Macaca fascicularis: one gene and its partners. The protein of the gene in region 1 interacts with the protein of each later gene in a pairwise test. Links are inferred from orthologs where the notes say so. Each region holds a gene or a part of one and is shown in the gene's direction. Other genes may lie near its edges.

The links. The genes of interacting proteins can lie anywhere in the genome.
Region 2: the proteins of STX4 (region 1) and VAMP4 interact in binary tests that used the Homo sapiens proteins (3 or more experiments, as listed by UniProt). The two-hybrid records come from large-scale screens. The link is inferred for Macaca fascicularis from reciprocal best matches to the Homo sapiens genes STX4 and VAMP4.
Region 3: the proteins of STX4 (region 1) and SEC22A interact in binary tests that used the Homo sapiens proteins (3 or more experiments, as listed by UniProt). The two-hybrid records come from large-scale screens. The link is inferred for Macaca fascicularis from reciprocal best matches to the Homo sapiens genes STX4 and SEC22A.
Region 4: the proteins of STX4 (region 1) and STX6 interact in binary tests that used the Homo sapiens proteins (3 or more experiments, as listed by UniProt). The two-hybrid records come from large-scale screens. The link is inferred for Macaca fascicularis from reciprocal best matches to the Homo sapiens genes STX4 and STX6.

What each region holds. Positions count from the first base shown.
Region 1 is NC_088394.1:29,218,237-29,222,253, forward strand, and holds part of STX4 (syntaxin-4), read left to right. Parts: intron 1-1,710; coding exon 1,711-1,819; intron 1,820-1,898; coding exon 1,899-1,975; intron 1,976-2,294; coding exon 2,295-2,432; intron 2,433-3,328; coding exon 3,329-3,439; intron 3,440-3,510; coding exon 3,511-3,591; 3' UTR 3,592-3,606; intron 3,607-3,699; exon of another isoform or gene 3,700-3,955; intron 3,956-4,017. UniProt on the Homo sapiens protein: Plasma membrane t-SNARE that mediates docking of transport vesicles. Necessary for the translocation of SLC2A4 from intracellular vesicles to the plasma membrane.
Region 2 is NC_088375.1:29,354,074-29,358,695, reverse strand, and holds the start of VAMP4 (vesicle-associated membrane protein 4), read left to right. Parts: upstream 1-1,365; 5' UTR 1,366-1,535; exon of another isoform or gene 1,536-1,819; intron 1,820-4,622. UniProt on the Homo sapiens protein: Involved in the pathway that functions to remove an inhibitor (probably synaptotagmin-4) of calcium-triggered exocytosis during the maturation of secretory granules.
Region 3 is NC_088376.1:160,045,719-160,050,187, reverse strand, and holds the start of SEC22A (vesicle-trafficking protein SEC22a), read left to right. Parts: upstream 1-1,212; 5' UTR 1,213-1,241; exon of another isoform or gene 1,242-1,404; intron 1,405-3,985; 5' UTR 3,986-4,054; exon of another isoform or gene 4,055-4,083; intron 4,084-4,469. UniProt on the Homo sapiens protein: May be involved in vesicle transport between the ER and the Golgi complex.
Region 4 is NC_088375.1:38,509,644-38,514,446, reverse strand, and holds the start of STX6 (syntaxin-6), read left to right. Parts: upstream 1-1,546; 5' UTR 1,547-1,801; coding exon 1,802-1,836; intron 1,837-4,803. UniProt on the Homo sapiens protein: SNARE promoting movement of transport vesicles to target membranes. Targets endosomes to the trans-Golgi network, and may therefore function in retrograde trafficking.

The sequences.
Region 1 (4,017 bases):
GCCCAGGGCTCAGCAAGGACCCCAGATTGAAGATGAAACAGCTTGGGCATCTTGGAAGGGTGCAGCTGGAACCAGGAGAGCAGATGTATCTCTGGAAAAGGAACTCCAAGGAATGAGCATATTTAAGGTCTCAGGAGAAGGGGCAAGGCAGAGCAGATGCCCCAGAGCCAGTGTTTCTGGGGAAGCCTGTGGTGGTGATTGGCATGAGTGGTCGAGGGCCCATGTGGGCCTGTTGCACCTGTTTCGCCCAGGCAGCATGTTCATCTCTAGGCATAGGAACTGTGGTGTAGGCAGCAAGGTTGGCATTCAGCAAGCATTCAGCAGTTACATATTGGGTGCCTACTGTGTGCCAGACCTTTTTGGAACTGTTTAGGGTACAGCAGTGAATCAATGATCCCTATCCTCATGGAACTTCCCTTCTGGTGTAGACAATCACCGTAATAAATAAGTGAATTATTTAGAACATAATAAGCATTAAGGAAAAAAGAGCAGGGGAAGAGGGACTGAGCATGCTGGAGGAGGGTAGCGTTGCAGTTGAAAGCAAGTGGAGGAAGCTTCATTCAGAAGGTGACATCTGAACAAAAGACTTAAAGGTGTTTGCGGGGAATGGGCATTCTAGGTAGAATGAGAAGTGAATGCAAAGGTTTAAGCTGAGAGTGTGCTTTGTCTAGGGAGGGCTGTAAGGAGACCAATGTGGATGGGCAGAGGGAGGGAACAGTAAGAGGAAGCAAGATCAGAGAGGGCTGGCCGTGCACCTTGGCTCACACCTGTGATCCCAGCACTTTGGAGGCTGAGGTGGGAGGATTGGTTGAGCCCAGGCGTTTGAGACCAGCCTGGGCAACATTGCGAGACCCCATCTCTCTCTGTTTTTTTTTTTGAGACAAGGTCTCACTCTGTCACCCAGGCTGGAGTGCAGTGGTGCCATCTCTGCTCACTGCAGCCTCCGCCTCCTGAGTTCAAGCCATTCTCCTGCTTCAGCCTCCCAAGTAGCTGGGACTACAGGCACCCACCACTGCACCCAGTTAATTTTTGTATTTTTAGTAGAGATGGGGTTTCACCATGTTGGCCAGGCTGGTCTTGAACTCCGACCTCAGGTGATCTGCCTACCTCAGCCTCCCAAAGTGCTGAGATTACAAGCATGAGCCACCGTGCGGGTCAACCCTGTCTCTATTAAAAATAAAAATAGGCCAGGTGCAGTGGCTCACACTTGTAATCCCAGCACTTTGGGAGGCTGAGGTGGGTGGATCACCTGAGGTCAAGAGATTGAGACCATCCTGGCCAACATGGTGAAACCCCATCTCTACTAAAAATACAAAAATTAACCATGCATGGTGATGTTCATCTGTAGTCCCAGCTACTTGGGAGGCTGAGGCAAGAGAATCGCTTGAACCCAGGAGGCCAAGGTTGTGGTGAACCAAGATTGCGCCACTGCACTCCAGCCTGGGCAATAAGAACGAAACTCTGTCTCAAAAAATAAATAATAAATAAATAAAAATAAAAAAGATCATGGAGGGCCACATAGACTTGCTAAGGGCTTTGGCTTTTTGTCTAAGAGAAATGGGGGAGCCTGTCAAGGTCATCACAAAGTGGTTAAGGTGGCAGACCCCGCGTAAGAGCTCATGCTATTTGCTCACTTTACTATGGGATTGCCGAGGCCCAGACCGGGCAAGGATCCTCCCAGGGCACCCAGCCTATATTCTTCATCTTTAGCATGGGGTCCTGTCCCAGCAATTCGTGGAGCTCATCAACAAGTGCAATTCAATGCAGTCCGAATACCGGGAGAAGAACGTGGAGCGGATCCGGAGGCAGCTGAAGATCAGTGAGTTGTGTGTGCCCAGCCTGGCCTGCAGGGGCAGGTAATCCCAACCCAGCCCTGAGCCTGGCCTTTTCCTTCACAGCCAATGCTGGGATGGTGTCTGACGAGGAGCTGGAGCAGATGCTGGATAGTGGGCAGAGCGAGGTGTTCGTGTCCAATGTGAGTGGCCACAGCCAGCCCCTCTCTGCTGTGCCTCCCATCTCCTCTGATTCCTATCCCGTTCTTGACCTCCTGGGCTCAGGTGATCCTCCTGTCTCAGCCTCCCGAGTAGCTGGGACTATAGGTGTGAGCCACTGGACTCCGCTTGCTATGTCCCTTTCTGATTGAGGGGACCCTGAGGCCCCTAAGGGAATTAATTAGCTAACCTGGAGTCACCCATCAGATTCCAGGCTGAGGGCTCCCCAGAAGTTCAACAGGAGCTTCTGACCTGCTGTCGGTCTCCCTGTGAACAGTTGCCCCACTCCTGTCCACCCCCTAGATCCTGAAGGACACACAGGTGACTCGACAGGCCTTAAATGAGATCTCGGCCCGGCACAGTGAGATCCAGCAGCTTGAACGCAGTATTCGTGAGCTGCACGATATCTTCACTTTTCTGGCTTCTGAAGTGGAGATGCAGGTGAGTGCCCCGCGCAGCCCCAGACGTGATACCAGGCTCAGTCCAAACTGCCAGCCTCCTGCCACCCTTAGATTCTCTCCCTGAGGCTTTTGTGTCTTCCAGGTTTGGCCATCCCCCCAAATTGGTGCTTATTCTTATCTTTAGCTGTACCCCGAGAATGGCGCCTGCCTCTGCTGCTACCCAGATACCCACTCCCTTCTGCATAGCACCCTGCCCTGTCTCCAAAACTTGAGCCTGCCCAGGTCTGGCCCCAGCCCTGGCTCCCCCTCCACTAACAGCATCCACCCTGATACCTCTCAGAGGTTCAGTCAGAGTTGCCTTAGAGGGGCTGCCTCCTAACATCTGTACAAGGCTGGGGTGGGGGCGGTGTCCCCCTGGCCCTGGTTGCGTGAGTTGAGTTGAGCTTCCAGCCCTGTCCTGGAGGAGCTGGCCTCAGTCATGCTACAACCAGTGCCCTTTTGCAGCTGAGACTTACAGGAAAGAGATCTCATTCAGTAGGAGCACTGAGACCTGAGGCTGGTGGTGCCAGGAGGAGGCAGGGATAGGGAGGGCTTTGCAGCAGCTGTAGATAGGCCTGGAAGAATGGGTAAATTCAGACAGATTTGTGAAGGCACAGTTCACCATCTGTGAAAGGTATGAGCCATTTGAGGTCCTTAGCTCCAAGCTACCACTGCAGATAGAGGTCATATGGGATAAGCGAGCAGGGGACAAGGGACTACATGATAGAAGGGACCTGGAAGCCATCTCCAAGGAGCCTGAACTTTTGTCAGATCGAGTCTTGCCCTTGTCTTTGTTAGTGCAATCTTTTTTTTCCTGCCAGGAATGCTCTTCAGTCATCTGGGGTGGGGTGGGCAAAGGCATCCTTACCTCCCTGAATCACCCCATCCTCTGAGCAGGGGGAGATGATCAATCGGATTGAGAAGAACATCCTGAGCTCAGCGGACTACGTGGAACGCGGGCAGGAGCACGTCAAGACAGCCCTGGAGAACCAGAAGAAGGCGAGGAAGGTGAGCCTCCCAGGCCCAGCCTCTGCCCCAGGCACCCTCTGTGACTTCCCTGACCCCCTCCTCTCCCACAGAAGAAAGTCTTGATTGCCATCTGTGTGTCCATCACCGTCGTCCTCCTAGCAGTCATCATTGGCGTCACAGTGGTTGGATAATGTCACACATTGTTGGTGAGATGTTGTGGGCTGCCCTCTGGCCTGCCCCAGCCCTGGCCCCAGCCCTCCCTTCTCCCTCAGACCCTGTTCTCCCTCCTTTCCTTACAGGCACTAGGAGCACCAGGGACCCAGGGCCTGGCCTTCTCTCCCAGCAGCCTGGGGGACAGGGCAGAGCCTCCAGCTGGACCCCTTCCTCACACTGGCCCCTATGCAGAAGGGCAGACAGTTCTTCTGGGGTTGGCAGCTGCTCATTCATGGTGGCCTCCTCCTTCAGGCCTCAGTGCCTGGGGGAGGCCTGCACTGTCCTGATTGGTCGGGACACACAGTTTTGTAAAAAATTAAAAAACAAAAAAGAGCATAGAAAGCCCTGTGCACGTGTGTTCCTGGAAGGGCTGGCCCAAGGCTTCCGGGCATCCAACCTCCCTA
Region 2 (4,622 bases), on another chromosome or scaffold:
GATCACTTTAGACCAGGAGTTCACAGCTGCTGTGAGATATAATTGTGTCACCGCACTCCAGCCTGGGAGAAGAAGTGATAACTCGTCTCAAAAGAAAAAATCAGCTGTAAAAGGAAAAATGATGTCTGGGTTACCTGTGGAGTCTGGGGGTAGTCCCACTATCACGCCTAGACAGAGATATAAACCATGAGAGGTTTCTAAGTGGGCCGTTTCAGTCCAAGTCAGCAACTTGGCATAAACATAGGCAACTGAGTTTAGCATCAAGCTTTCAGAACCTTCAACTGACAACCCAACGGCTGTTTCTAAATCTCAGACCATTTAAATCAGAATCTAGGTAACACGTGGGCACCTACGCAGTTTTAAAAGCTTTCCAAGTGATTCAACTCCAAGTGAATCAGAGTTGAGCATCATTGCCTTAGTCATGGCATTTTTCAAATTCGTTAGTACAGTTTTACATTAAAAAAAAAATCAAAAGAAGAGCAACTTTTTGGTAAGAGGGTGTCTATTCTTTCCTTTCCTTTAGTGTCCTCAGATCTTTCCTCCTGCTGTTTTGTCTACTCTTGTTCTTGAACACCCCCTCTTATTTTTATATCTTTAGAAAGTGCCTGGCAAAGCATTTCAGACAGTTAAAATACTCTATCAACAAAGGACCCATAGACACTGTATTCATTTTAAAAGATGTGTAGTGAATATGATTCAATGAGTAAAATAATCCAGCTGGGGCGTGGGAGGAATGGATAATAAAACAAATAAGAGAACGGAAAAACAAAATTAGGACTTGTTTTTGGTAGCCAGCTACAGCGGGCTTCGAGATCTAAACATGATACCAAATTGGGCGGAGGGGGAGGGAGTGAGGGAGGAATGGGCAGAGTGGCGGAATGGCCTGGCAAGGGCGATTTCCCTGAAACCTGAAGGCTTTCAGGTTACAACTAAGGGATACCAGGAAAAGAACACCGAGCCCTCGTTCCGTATCTATCTAAACTAGCTGTGTAACTTTAAGTCAGTCTCCTCTCTGAACCAGATATTCCACCTATCTAAAGGGAGGAGCCTGGCCTAGGAACCCCTAACATCTCTTTCCAAGTGTAGCTAATTCTGTAAACAAGGGATCGAACAGATCTCCTTTCTTCAGAAAAGGCCCCAGACGAACCCGAAGCAGGTCCACCGGATCGCGACCGGAACCTGGAGAACCGGTGGTCGTTCCTCCCCTAAAGCACAGCATAACCTTGGAAAGCTGCACCTAAACTGCGTGTGGGTCCGGGCTCTTTTAGGCGAAGCGCGTTCGGCGGAATCGACTTCCTCGACTATCTCCGTGCCCTGGACCCGCCCTCTCCGCCTGGCGCCAGGCCGCCGAGCGCCGATCGGCTCGATGAGCGGAGGCGCTTCTGCGGCGCTGCGGCCGACGCCGGGTCTGCATCCACTGTCTCCCCCTCCCAGCTTTTTACCTCGGCTTCCCACTCCTTCCCCCGCCCGCCCAGCACCGCCCGCCCAGCACCGCCAGCCCGGGAGAGCTGCCGGGAGTTCCCCGGGAGCCTCAGGTACTGGCGCTGGCCTGTTCCCAGCGGGAGGGGCTGGTGTGAGGAGGAAGGAAACGAAGAAGACGCCCTGCCTCGCCGCCCCCCGACGTCCTAGTCGGGCTGGTCGGCCGGCCTCCGGCATCTAGGAAGGGACCCCGGAGTGGGAAAAGGCTGGGGCCCGGGGTGTCGTGAGGAAGGAAGACGAGGACAGGGGTGTGCGGACGGGGAGCAGTTGAGGAAGAGAAGACTTGGAATGGAAGGGAACTCTGGGTGATGGGAAGAAAACAGTGCCATGGATGGGGAAGGTTTGTTAAGAGTGGGATGCAGTCAGGAATGCCAGGGGGTACCGTGGGGCAGGAAGGGCCAGTGTTAGGAGCAGATATATCCAGGGACGTGGCCTGGTGCGACAGATTGGGTGTGGGGGGTGAACGGAGCTGCCTGGAATTGTGTATTTAAAGGGCTCAGGAGAAAGAGCGCCAACCCTGCTGTGTTTATAATGACCGGAAGGTGGGGGTGAATCGTTACACTTGACAGGTTTTGCAAATGACATCTCCGGTTTGTGTCCATCCAAGTCACTTTATTTCTGTGAAACTGCATCAAGCAAGACGGCTGATGACAGACAAGGAAGACGAGTCAGAAAGGGAATGGAGGCTGGGAAAAGGAGAGCCTCTGCCCAGATTCAAAGCTGTTGACTAGATAACGTACTACTTACAAAAATGCATACATAGACATTTAAGTATATGCCGATGTATAAGAAGCATACGGTGATGTGACTTTTTTAAGTGAATTTTATAGTGGTGGTCTATCCTCAATGTGGAAGTACATGATAGCTCTCTTATTTACATGTATACCTAGTCACAAACACCTGAATTCACATGTCTTTTTTGTAGGAGAATCTTAGGCGGACGATATCCTTGTCTACTTTCTGAGCATGATTCATTTCTACTAGTTGTTTGATACACATGTCATCAGTTACTAATAATCACCAGTTGCAAATAACGTCAAAGTTCATCAACGTAGCTAATTAATCTGCCTACTGCTTTGCTGATGGGCTTTCTATTTGTTGCACATGGTTTCCTGGGATTAAGAGACCTGAATATGGGGTTTGCTCCTCCTTAAGATTGTAGTTTTACCCTATGTCTCATAAAGGCATTATATAAGTCAGCCTGTTGTTTGCTTTGAGATGTTGAGGGAGCCTCTTTGCAGGGGTTAAAATCTAAATACAGATATAGTTAAAAGCACAAGTTCTTCAGTAATTTGCCTTGTCATCTGTTTTTCCATGCATTCTGTTACATTTCTGCAAGAATTAAGTATTCTGAAATCAAAGTATGAGGAATAAAAGGGCCAGATGTATGTGACAGAAATATTGTGGAACCAAGAACTCAAGAGCTGTTAGGCAGCAAGAGTTTGGTTTTTGTTACAAGTGAATAATTTCTGATTTGGAAGCATTTCTTACCAAAGAAAAGTGTTTGTGTCCGTTTGTTTTGACAAGCAGCTGACTTAAAATATTACTTTTATTTGGTTCGTGAAACATGATTCTGGGATTATTCTTTTTTAAGTGTATATCATTAACCAACAAACTGATATCTAACTATACCTAATTTAAAGGGCTGTGTTTCTTCTTGTGGAGAAGGAAACAGGACTATTGGGTTGTTACCAGGAAGTGGGTCTTTCTAGAACAGAATTCTGTAAACCTGATGAGCAACTAATTGAAAAAAACAGTTAAAACTGATAATGCACAGCCATTGATTAATTTAGGCCTGTATCTCTGCTGTTTCAATGAGTGTAGTGACTAACGTTATCGTTACTAAACTTTAGTTTTCTCCTAGTTTCTTGGTGCCTACTTCAAAGAAGGGTCATAAAGAGTAAAAGAAAATGCATGCATATCACTGAGCACAGTGCCTAGCACACAGTATAACATTATTTCTGAGCTATCCTGAATTGCTGAGTATTCATCTACCATCTAGTCAAAAATACTGAAAATTCATTATTTGCATAGAACAACTTTTTCTCAAAAAAAATTTTTAATATGTTGCATACACAAGCATTTTCCTGGAAAGTCACAATGCATATTAGCATATAACAGGATGTGAGTCATTCTGTAGCAAAGAAAACTAGTTTTGTTTAATCCAGTTGTTTTGATAGAAGAAAAATTGAGTTTCTCCTATTCTCTCTCAACACAGAATACTCCTGTGACCCCAAAAAGACTTCTCCTCACAAGCAAGCAGGCAGTTCTGCAGCAGGTTCTCCAGCTGGGTGTTCTCTCATTCAATTCTGATACTGTATACCTAGAGATAGCATCAGATCGGGCAGGTTGAGGGCTTAAGCCTACAAGATTCCCCCCTTCAGGTGCCAGTCACAAGTTCCAGGTTGTTTTACCTGTGCTTCCAACTGACTGGCTATAAATCATAGTTCCCACAATCCCTTCCTTGTGTTCCATTTATTTGCTAGAGTGGCTCACAGAATTCAGAGAAACACTTTGTTTACTGGTTTATTATAAAGGATAGAGATCAACAGCCAGATGGAAGAGGTGCATAGGGCAAGGGGTACAGAGCTTCTGTGCCCTCTCCAGGTGTGCCACCGTCCAGGAACCCTCTACTTGTTCAGCTTTCGGGAAGCTCTCTGAACCCTGTCCTTTTTGGGTTCTATGGAGTCTTCATTAGTAGGCATGATTGATTACATCATTGGCCATTGGAAATCAGTTCAACCTGGAGCCCTCCTCCCCTCCCAGGAAGCTAGGGGGTGGGGCTGAAAAGTCACAGTCTTATAATCATACCTAGGTTTTTCTGTGACCAGCCTCCATCTTGAATCTATGTGGGGGCTAAGCTACCAGGCATCTTACTAGCATACACAAGACACATCACTGCAGGGATTCCAAGGATATGTCAGGAAATGGGGATTAAAACCAAATATATATATATATATTTTATAAATCACAATATCACACAGTACTTACCAAACTTACCCCTTTTTATGGAGTACCAATGGGACATTATAGTTTGCAGAATATTTTTGCATGTATTATCCAATTTGACCATCCCAACTCTGCCGAAGCCTGAAAATCACTATTTTACACATGAGGAAACTGAATCATTGTTTAAGCAGCCA
Region 3 (4,469 bases), on another chromosome or scaffold:
TATTAAGTCCCTTGGATACCATCTCTAATTTATACATATCTTGAAATTATCTACCTCTTTCTGTCTCTAACTCCCATTATACTAGTTCAAGCCATCATTTCTGGCTTTGCCTGATGCAACTGCCTCCAAATGGCCTTCCAGCAGCCTTTCTTGCCCTCTTCCGAACTATTCTCCACAAACAGCCTGAGTGATTCTTAAATATGCAAATAGGATCCTACTTAATAGTCTTTATTAGTTGCCCATTGACCTTGGGCTGAGATGAGACAAGGGCCAGACCATGCTGGCTCTTATTGGCCACATTACAGATTTCAGGCTGTATTTTGGAAGTTTCTCCTTGCTCCCTACACTCCATCCACACTGACTTCCTTTTACTTCCTAGAGCACACGAAGTTCTTTCATGCCCCAACAACCTCACACATAATAGTTCCTTGACGGGGAACATTCTCTAAGGTTCTTTAATATGCCTGCAGCTTAAAAGGCACTTATTCAGAAGTCTCTTTCCTGACAGTCCAAAATTAATTCATCATTGCACCCACTAATTTTCCCTCCCAGTACTGATCACAATTTATAATTCTGTAACTATTTATGCTTTCATATCTTTTGCTCCAATTACGTCTTAAATTCCATCAAGTGTTATGTCCACTCCTGTAACCCCGCGTTTAACACGGTGCTTGGCACATGGTAAACAGCCAGTAAATGCCTGTTTAATAACGCATGAACGATGCGAAAGCTGGAAGGGGTCAAGGGGTCGGCATCTGGCACTTCTCTGCCATAGTTTGTTTCCTTCTTGTGTGTGGGTATAGACGGGGCCAGGTCCTCTCCTTGCTCACCCACAGGGGGCTTTTCTCCCTGTCCCCTTTATAAGTGTCTGCTGTAGGGGCCGCGTGTGAAAGACAAAATGCCTGCAGATACAGGGCGGCGAGCGGAGGGGATTGGCCCTATTTCTAAAGTCAACGTAGTTCTGTCATCAGAGGACTGTACTTTTCTGGCGCAGGTGCGAGAGACGCTGCCAATCTCTCCTGGAGCCGGTGGGACTAAGGCGGGTCCTGGGATCGGGCGGGTTGTTGTGTCCTTCCTGCAGAATCCGATTGGCCTGGGCGAGCCGAGGGAACGGGGGCGTGGTTTGATTCCGCGGGCGCGAGCCACGTTGGACGCGGCGCAGCCCCGCCGAAAGGCCCCTCCCAGGCCCCACAATGCACTGCGGGGTGCGTCACTCGGAGCGGCGGGTCCCGTCTCGACAGGTACTACCCGGCCCCTCCCAGTCCTCTTCTTCCCTTCTTAGGGGTCGTTCGAACCCCTGCCGGCCTCTCCCCTCCCTCTCCCTGCCTCCCGCGACAGCCTCGGTCTTCGCCCTCGGGACTGAAGACCTACCCGACGGGCAGGAGCCAAGTCCGTGCCTTTGGGGTGGGAGCCGGGGTCGCGGAGCTCTGGAGGGACGGGCAAGTAGGGACCCCGTCCCCTTCGACTTGAGGTTTCTCTGGGGCCACGCGGGCGGCCGTTGCGCCTCGTCTGAGCCGCCTGGGGTATTGGGCAGCCAGGGAAGGAGTGTCTAAAGGGGAGGGACAGTCGCACTTGGCTGTCAGTAGGTTGGTAGGGATTCCCTGGCGCCCAGTTGTCAGAAACACGGTGATCTACCTGTGTAGGTGGCCCGCGGGAGCTTGAGGTGGTATTTCCTATTTCTGTTAGGCAGAATGGGACTTGAACCAGTGTCTTACTTTACGTCTTGCGGGGATGGAGTGAGCACTGAACCCAGATATTTGCCCGTGTTGGCTCACGGAAACCTCTTGAGACCCTGCCTCAAGAGTCACTTTGGGAACGATGTGGCAGAAGGGAGACCTGAGCAATTGGCTCAACAAGTGGAGGAGGCTTCCGAAAGAAAAGGACAAGCCCCAGCTGTCCTGAATCTCTCTGCCAGTGAAGACAGCTTAAGATAATTTTTCTCCTGCTGCTTAGTTTCCTGGGTCATCCACCTGGGGCAGGGGGCTACCTTGAGAACCAGTCCCTCCTGGGTCTATTCAGCCAAGGCAAAGCCTAGCCCAGAGCAAAAATGTCAGCCACCAGACTGGAGATGTTGGGAACTTCAGTCAGGGGAACAGCCACTTTTCAAACTCTGAATCACTTTTCATGTTATTGATATTTGCTTACATGCTAAGATCGGAAGGAATCAGGCAGTGCCTTAAACGGTACCTACAATTTCTGGCATATTAAGTTTCCTTCAGTATTTGATTCTGACACCTGTGACCGTATCCTAAAGTAATGGGACATTCGGGTATTTCCTATGTTGAAAACCATCACATCTGTTTAGTGCCTTTTTGTGTGTGTGTGCGTGCAACTGGTTAAAATCGAAGTATATCTTATGTTGGTCTATGAAAGAGGCCCAGGTATCACAGGGGTGCCTGTGACCTTCCTTGAGTGTCTCACAGAGTTGTTAGAGTTGGGTCTGAGTTTAAATCCCTACTTTGTCACGTACTAGTTTAGGGATTAAAAAAATTCCTTAAGCTTTCTGGGCTTGAATTTCCTCAAAGGTAAAATGGAACTAATAATACCTACTTCACAGGTTTTTGGAAGGCTTAAATGAGGTAATGTGTATAAAGTGCGTGGTCCATGGAGAGTAATCAATAAATAATATAGCAAATATTTAATATAGTGCTTTTAGTATGTTACAAGGCAGTGTTTCAGGCGCTTTACATGATCCTATGAGATAGATACTATTGTCATCTTTAAAATAAGCCTATGAGATAGATACTGTTAGTAGCCATAATGTATAGATGTAGAAAGGCAAAGCTTGCCCAAATTTACATGTCTGCTACATGGTGGAGCCAGGATTAGAACCCAGGCAGCAAGTAAATAGGAGTTTCTATATCCCTGGTTTCTTATCTCTTGTTGGTTTTGGTAGACTGATGAAGCATAGTAGTGTGTAGATACTAGAAACTTAGACTGAAGTACCAGTTCTGCTATATACTAGCAGTGTGACATTGAGAAAGTAAGCCTCAGTTTCCTCATCTGTAAATTGGCAGTTCTACCTACCCAACTGTGAACTATGTGGCACTATACGAGTGTTGGAATTGACACATTTGAGCATGTACTGGGGGCCCTGTCCTAGATGTGGGTAAAATCTGTTGTGAAGTCTGAGGTCTTATACATACTGTGCAGTGTAAGCACCCATAATAGGAATGTCACACACTGCTAGTGAGGTAGAGGGCATAGGCAAAATGACAGAAATTCCATCCTCTTTATCACCCAATCTATCCCCCACCCTCCCTGTGTATCACAAGTAGTATAGCTTTCTGTCCAAATTAACTACCACCCTTTCCCATTCCCACAGATCTCAGCTAGCAATTGTAATAAAATAATATGTACCATATTGGTACTGTCACATATGCAAGATAATTTGATAAGCAAATGAATATTAAAGTTCTCCCAAAATTTTCACACACATACATATTTGAATGAAACAAGTTCTTTTAATTTAAATTAGGAGAAAAACTTAATATCTCAAAACTGATTTCACAGATATTATTACTAAAAAATAAAGGACAAGAAAAGTAAGTCAATTCAAAGACCAATATTAGGTAAATAGTACAGATGGATGAAGATAATTCTGAAAGTGGTACTTGGATGACTGAAGACTGGGAAATTACGAACTAAAACAAATATGAGTGCTTTTGCCCCCAGTATAAAATGTTTTTATCTTAAAAGTGGCATTTGTGAAAGCATTTGGTTAGAACGTATATACAAAATCCACTTCTATGTTGGGCTTTATTTATTACCTTTTGAGAGATACCTTCCTGAGACATTGAGCCCATAGTCATTACCCACACAAGGTTCTGAAGAAGAGGGGTGTCTTGTTATCTTGGGTCTGAGAACTTGCTAACCATTCATTACCATAGTAGTTTGGCATTGTGGGAATTTATTTTCCTCAGACTTTACGTAAAAGTTTACCCAGATTTACCTAGATTCTAACTTGTGCTTTTTCCTCCAACAGTTGCTGATGGGGAGAGGAAAAAATAGCCACTGTTCCGGTTCCCTATGAGTTAACTGCTGCTGTCCAAAGGCAGGTGTAATATTTTCTGTGTATTAAAGGTGAGGAGAAATGGCCCAGTGCCCTAAACATTTATCTATGACCCTGATAAGCTAAAAACTCCTAAATCTTCCCATGCAATTGTTGTAACCTCTTGCTTTCCACAGTTCCACTGATTCTTCCTTGGGATTTTCCCAACCACAACCCTCCTTAGACCTTAAAGATACTTTAACCTAGTTTAGGCCTGACATGGACAGATTTCCTTTTCTGCTAGTGCAGTCTAGATAAGATTAGTTTAAAAAACAACAAACTATATTATGAATCCAGGGTAAAAAGAAAAAAAGTAGGGGTATGTTTATTGAATTGATGGAGCGACAGCTTAGCCTAAGGTGATTGGAGTCTGTCTACAAATTAGTTAAGCCTGACGTTGATCATTGGACATTCATCC
Region 4 (4,803 bases), on another chromosome or scaffold:
ATCGCTGTCATCCTGGTCTGGCCCTCATCCCTTCACGCCACATGACCTTAGCAGCGTCCTTACTGGTTTTCCTGACTTCAGTAACTTAATCCTTTGGGATCTTGAGGTTTACACGCATTTTTATTTAACTATCACAACAACCCATGAACTAGCTATTATTATTTATGTTTTATAGATGAGGAGCTGAACGATAGAGCCAAGGTTTAAACGGGGTTTGTGTTGCTCCAAGGACTGTGCCATCTCCAGACTGGTGACCTTGGGCAAGTCACTTACCCTCCCAGAGTCTCAGATTTCTCATTTATAAAATGGGCATGATGGCAGTAATTATCGCACTGTAAGAGCAACCGAGATAACACTTAACACCCTGCCTGACACACACACACTAAGTGCTCAATGATTTTCAGCAATCAAAGTCCACAATCCTCATCCACAAACTCCACAGCATATCTAGCATATGAGTTGGCTAAGGTTCTGGGCAAAATGTTTTCTAGAATAGTCCTTGAACCACAGTGAGAGGAAGTTGTCATACCTGGCCCCTTCTTTATTCCTTGTAGGTGCGCTCTCCTGGGAGGCACCATATGCTGTATGAAAAATTACTTTACATGGTTATTTGCAGAATGTACAGCAACATAAAGTACACCCCATCTGGTGGAAAGTGCACAGAATCTGCAGTTCTGCTCTGTCCAGGCTGTGTGACTACAGGAAGTCGTGAAGCCTCTCTGAACTTATTTTCTCATCTACAAAATGGGAGAAATGGATGGCGTAGGGGCTCACGTCCGTAATCCCACCACTTTGGGAGGCAGAGGCAGGAGGGTCTTGTGAGCTCAGGTGTTCGAGGCCAGCCTAGGCAATATACTGAGAGCTCTATCTCTACAAAAAATTTAAAAATCAGCTGGGCGTGGTGGCTCTCACCTGTAGTCCCAGCTACTCGGGAGGCTGAGGCGAGAGGACCGCTTGAGCCCAGGAGGTCGAGGGTGCAGTGAGCTGTGATTGTGCCACTGCACTCCAGCCTGGGTGACAGAGAGAGTCCCTGCCCCCCAAAAAGGGGAAGGAGGGGAATAATACCTTCCCCCAAAGAATACTGAGATGATGCATACACAACTTTTTAGCACACTCTCCAACACAAAGTAAGACCCTACTTGAAGGAGCTGTGTAGCATCATAATCAGATACTATGCTTCATTTTAAGTCGAGGACCAGATAGATTTATAAATTACATACTGTCAAAATCAAGTATTAAAAGTAGAGGAAAGGTAAGAGGATTTTGCAAAACAGGTACAACTACAGTTTATCCTGAAAAGCCGACTGCCTACCTCTGAGGGAACAAGCCGCTCTTCACCTTCAAGCCTGAGGAGAGGGCGGTAGAAAGCCGCCCACCTCCTCCGCCCCGAGGGCTCCGCCTCCAGGGCGGAGGGACGCAGGCCCAGGCCCCGCCCACTGGGGGAGGGGCAGGCCCTGATCACGTGAGTGGGGTACGGAAGTCGTGCTTCAGGCGGCTTTCGTGATTGGCCGCAGCCGAGGGTCCTGGGGGTGGGGTCAGGCTCTCCGACTCGCCGGGAGGAGCCGGGACTGGAGGCTGCAGAGGGGGCCGGCTCTGGAGTCCGGGATTCGGCCAGTGGTGCTGAGCGAGTGCTGGACCAGCGGTGGTCCCGTGCACCTGGCCTGCGCGCGTGCCCGCTGCTTGGCGTCCCCCAGTCTAAGGCGCGGGCGGCTGCGGGAACAGGCCGGGTGGGCGGAAGGAGGCCGGGAGGCACGGGCGCTCTGTGCGCGGTGGAGGTGGAGGCGGCCGGGGCCGGGACGCCATGTCCATGGAGGACCCCTTCTTTGTGGTGAAAGGGTGAGTGTCGGCCGAGGGCTCCACTGGAGGAAGAGGTGGCGGTGCTGCCTGCCCGCACCTCCTCGGTCTTCTCGCAGTAGGGGGAGGGGAGGCAAGTTGGAGCTGGGGAGGGGTCACAGTGGAGACGGCTTAGTCTTGAGGGCCATGACCAAGCGTCCAGAGACGTCTCCTGCATCCCTACCTGGACGGTGAAGCCACTGTCCCCAGCCAAGCCCCTGGTGGTGGTGGGGCCTTTTTGGCCTGTGCGCTGCGGTACAACTTATTTGGGGGTCGAGGGGCTCAGCAGCTCTGCAGGTGAGAAGGAGACACGCAGGTCCTAGCTCACACTGGCCGTCTATTCGAGCATGGGACCTTGCTTCGAAGGAGCGAAAACAGCATCTGGGCAGGAAAAGGGAAATGGCCCTCCTGAGCTTTGTAGTTCGTGTTGACGGGGGTGAACTCCATTGTCCATTGAGTTTGGAGCGCTCGTCCGCAGGACTGGCGAGACCACAACAAGCCCAGAGGCGTCTGAGCACGTTTGCTGGGAGGGAGGCGGGGGCGGGGGCTGATCTGGGAGGCTGGGGAGCAGGGCACAGGAAGACAATTCAATGGGGGGAGTTTTTACTGAGTAATGTGAGGAGAGGAAAGCAGTCGTTCATACTCAGTGATGATTTGGAAGGAAAACAAAATGAAACAAGCCAAACCAAACTTTCCTCAGCTTTCTATTAGCAACCGGAATTTTCTCACAGTGCTAAAGGAAATGAGTGTTGCTTGTTAACTCCTTGATATCATCCAGGCTGTTTGACAGGTTTCTCCTATTTCTTCTGCCTTTCAGAATAGAACTGCCTTCTGTTCCCTTGTAAGCTGTCCTAACTCCATCTTGCTCGATTGTTTCTTTGGAGATAGAAACTTCAACTGCACTTTGTAATATCCACTTTGTAGCCATTAAACAAATGCAAGAAGATTAATTCTGATGTAACTTTTAGTTTCTTATTAGAAACGTGTCAGTTTTCTGTTTTAAATGTCAAACATGAAAAATCTGAAAACTGCAAAGTTCCCAAATCAGTACTGATCACAGAATGTCCCTTGCTTTTAACGAGTTGCTGCTAGCTTCCTATTTTTGTAGTGGTACAAGCTGGCTGTTGTATACTCAAGTATTGTAGAAAATTTAAATGGCATTTTAGGTGAAAGATTTTATCGATGATGCAGTAAAATACACTTATAATATTTCTTAACATTTCCCTGGAAAGGTCTTTTTCTTCACCTTACTCTAATTTAGATGGGAAAATGCTGAGTTGTAGATTTACTGGTAATATGTGACTTCCTACCTGGAAAATGTGATATTTATTAGAAGAATTGATTAGGGGTTAATTTTAAAAATGTGTTTTTTCCTTGATTGAAAGTTCTTAATGCTTAGGTTGGCAAAGGTTATCTCTGGCAGTGGAGATCAGAGATGATCAGAAATTTTTTGTTTGACTTTTTATGGAATTTGTCAAAAGCCTAAATTCTTCTGCCGTCGTGGCATTTTTTTTTTCTTGACGGTATCCAATACAGTCGTCTAATGCTTGTTCACTGATTAAATATCACTACTTTATTGGAACATTGGTTCGGAGTTTTGATTGACTTTTACATCATTTTAGCTCCTGTCTTTAAGGTTCTTGAAGGAAAAGAGATTCTCAGTACCTTCTACTGTGGAAAGGTAAAGTCACCCATGAAGGTGTATCCAGATTTTTTGGGAGTCATGCACCTGTGTTTATTAAAAGTATCAAGAATGCATTACACAGCATGGAAAAATTAAAGATGCCTAAATTATGGCCTAGGAGCTTCTAGTCTAATCTGAGAAACAAATTACCCCAAAATTAAGTAGAAATGACAGGTGGCAAATGAATGAGTGTTGAAGTGAATGCTGCAGATGATGAGTGCCCCAGGAGTTCAGAGAAAGGCATCTCCTTGGGAATTGTTAGGATTAGGAAAGCTTTTGGAGGCAATAAGTATATCTTGAATTACGTTTTGAAGATGGGCAGAATTTAGATAATCAAGCCTGTCTCTTTTATCTGGATGCTTATCAAAGAATCTTTTAATTGTTCTTCCTGCTTCTGGTCTCATTTCCTCTTTCAGCTGTCCTGGGATCTATTGGATCAGTGCTGTCCAATAGAAGTATAATGCCAGCCACGTACGTCATTTTACATTTTCTAGTAGCCACAGTAAAATAAAAAGGAACAGGTGAAATTAATTCTAATGTAATCTCTAGTACATTCAAAATATTCGACGTGTGATTAATACAAAGATTGATGAGATATTTTACTTTTGCACTAAGTCTTCTAAATCTAATACATATTTTACACTTACTGCACATTTAAATTTGGACATTAAATTTTCATCAGAAATAATTTATCTGTATTTAAAATTCATTAAATACTCTTTTTTTTCTTTTTTTTTTTTTTTTTTTGAGACAAGAGTCTCGTTCTGTTGCTCAGACTGGAGTGCAGTGGTGCAATCTCGGCTCACTGCAACCTCTGCCTCCCAGGTTCAAGCGATTCTTGCGCCTCAGCCTCCTGAGTAGCTGGGACTACAGGTGGGTGCCACCTCACCTGGCTAATTTTTGTATTTCCCTGCTAATTTTTGTATTTCCTGGGTAATTTTTTTTTTTTTTTTTTTTTTTTAGGACTACAGGTGGCCGCCACCATGCCTGGCTAATTTTTTGTATTTTTTAGTAGAGATGGGGTTTCACCATGTTAGCCAGGATGGTCTCAATCTCCTGACCTTCGATCCGCCTGCCTTGGCCTCCCAAAGTGCTGGGATTACAGGCGTGAGCCACCGCGCCTGGTCTACATACTCTTAATTGTTCCAAATATACATAAAAGTTTTTTGATAACTGAATTGCATGTCAGTTACCAAGTTTACATTAATTAAAATTTAATTTCTGTCACACTAGCCACATTTCCAGTCAGTAGTTGTATGTGGCTTCCGTATTGGACAGCACAGTGT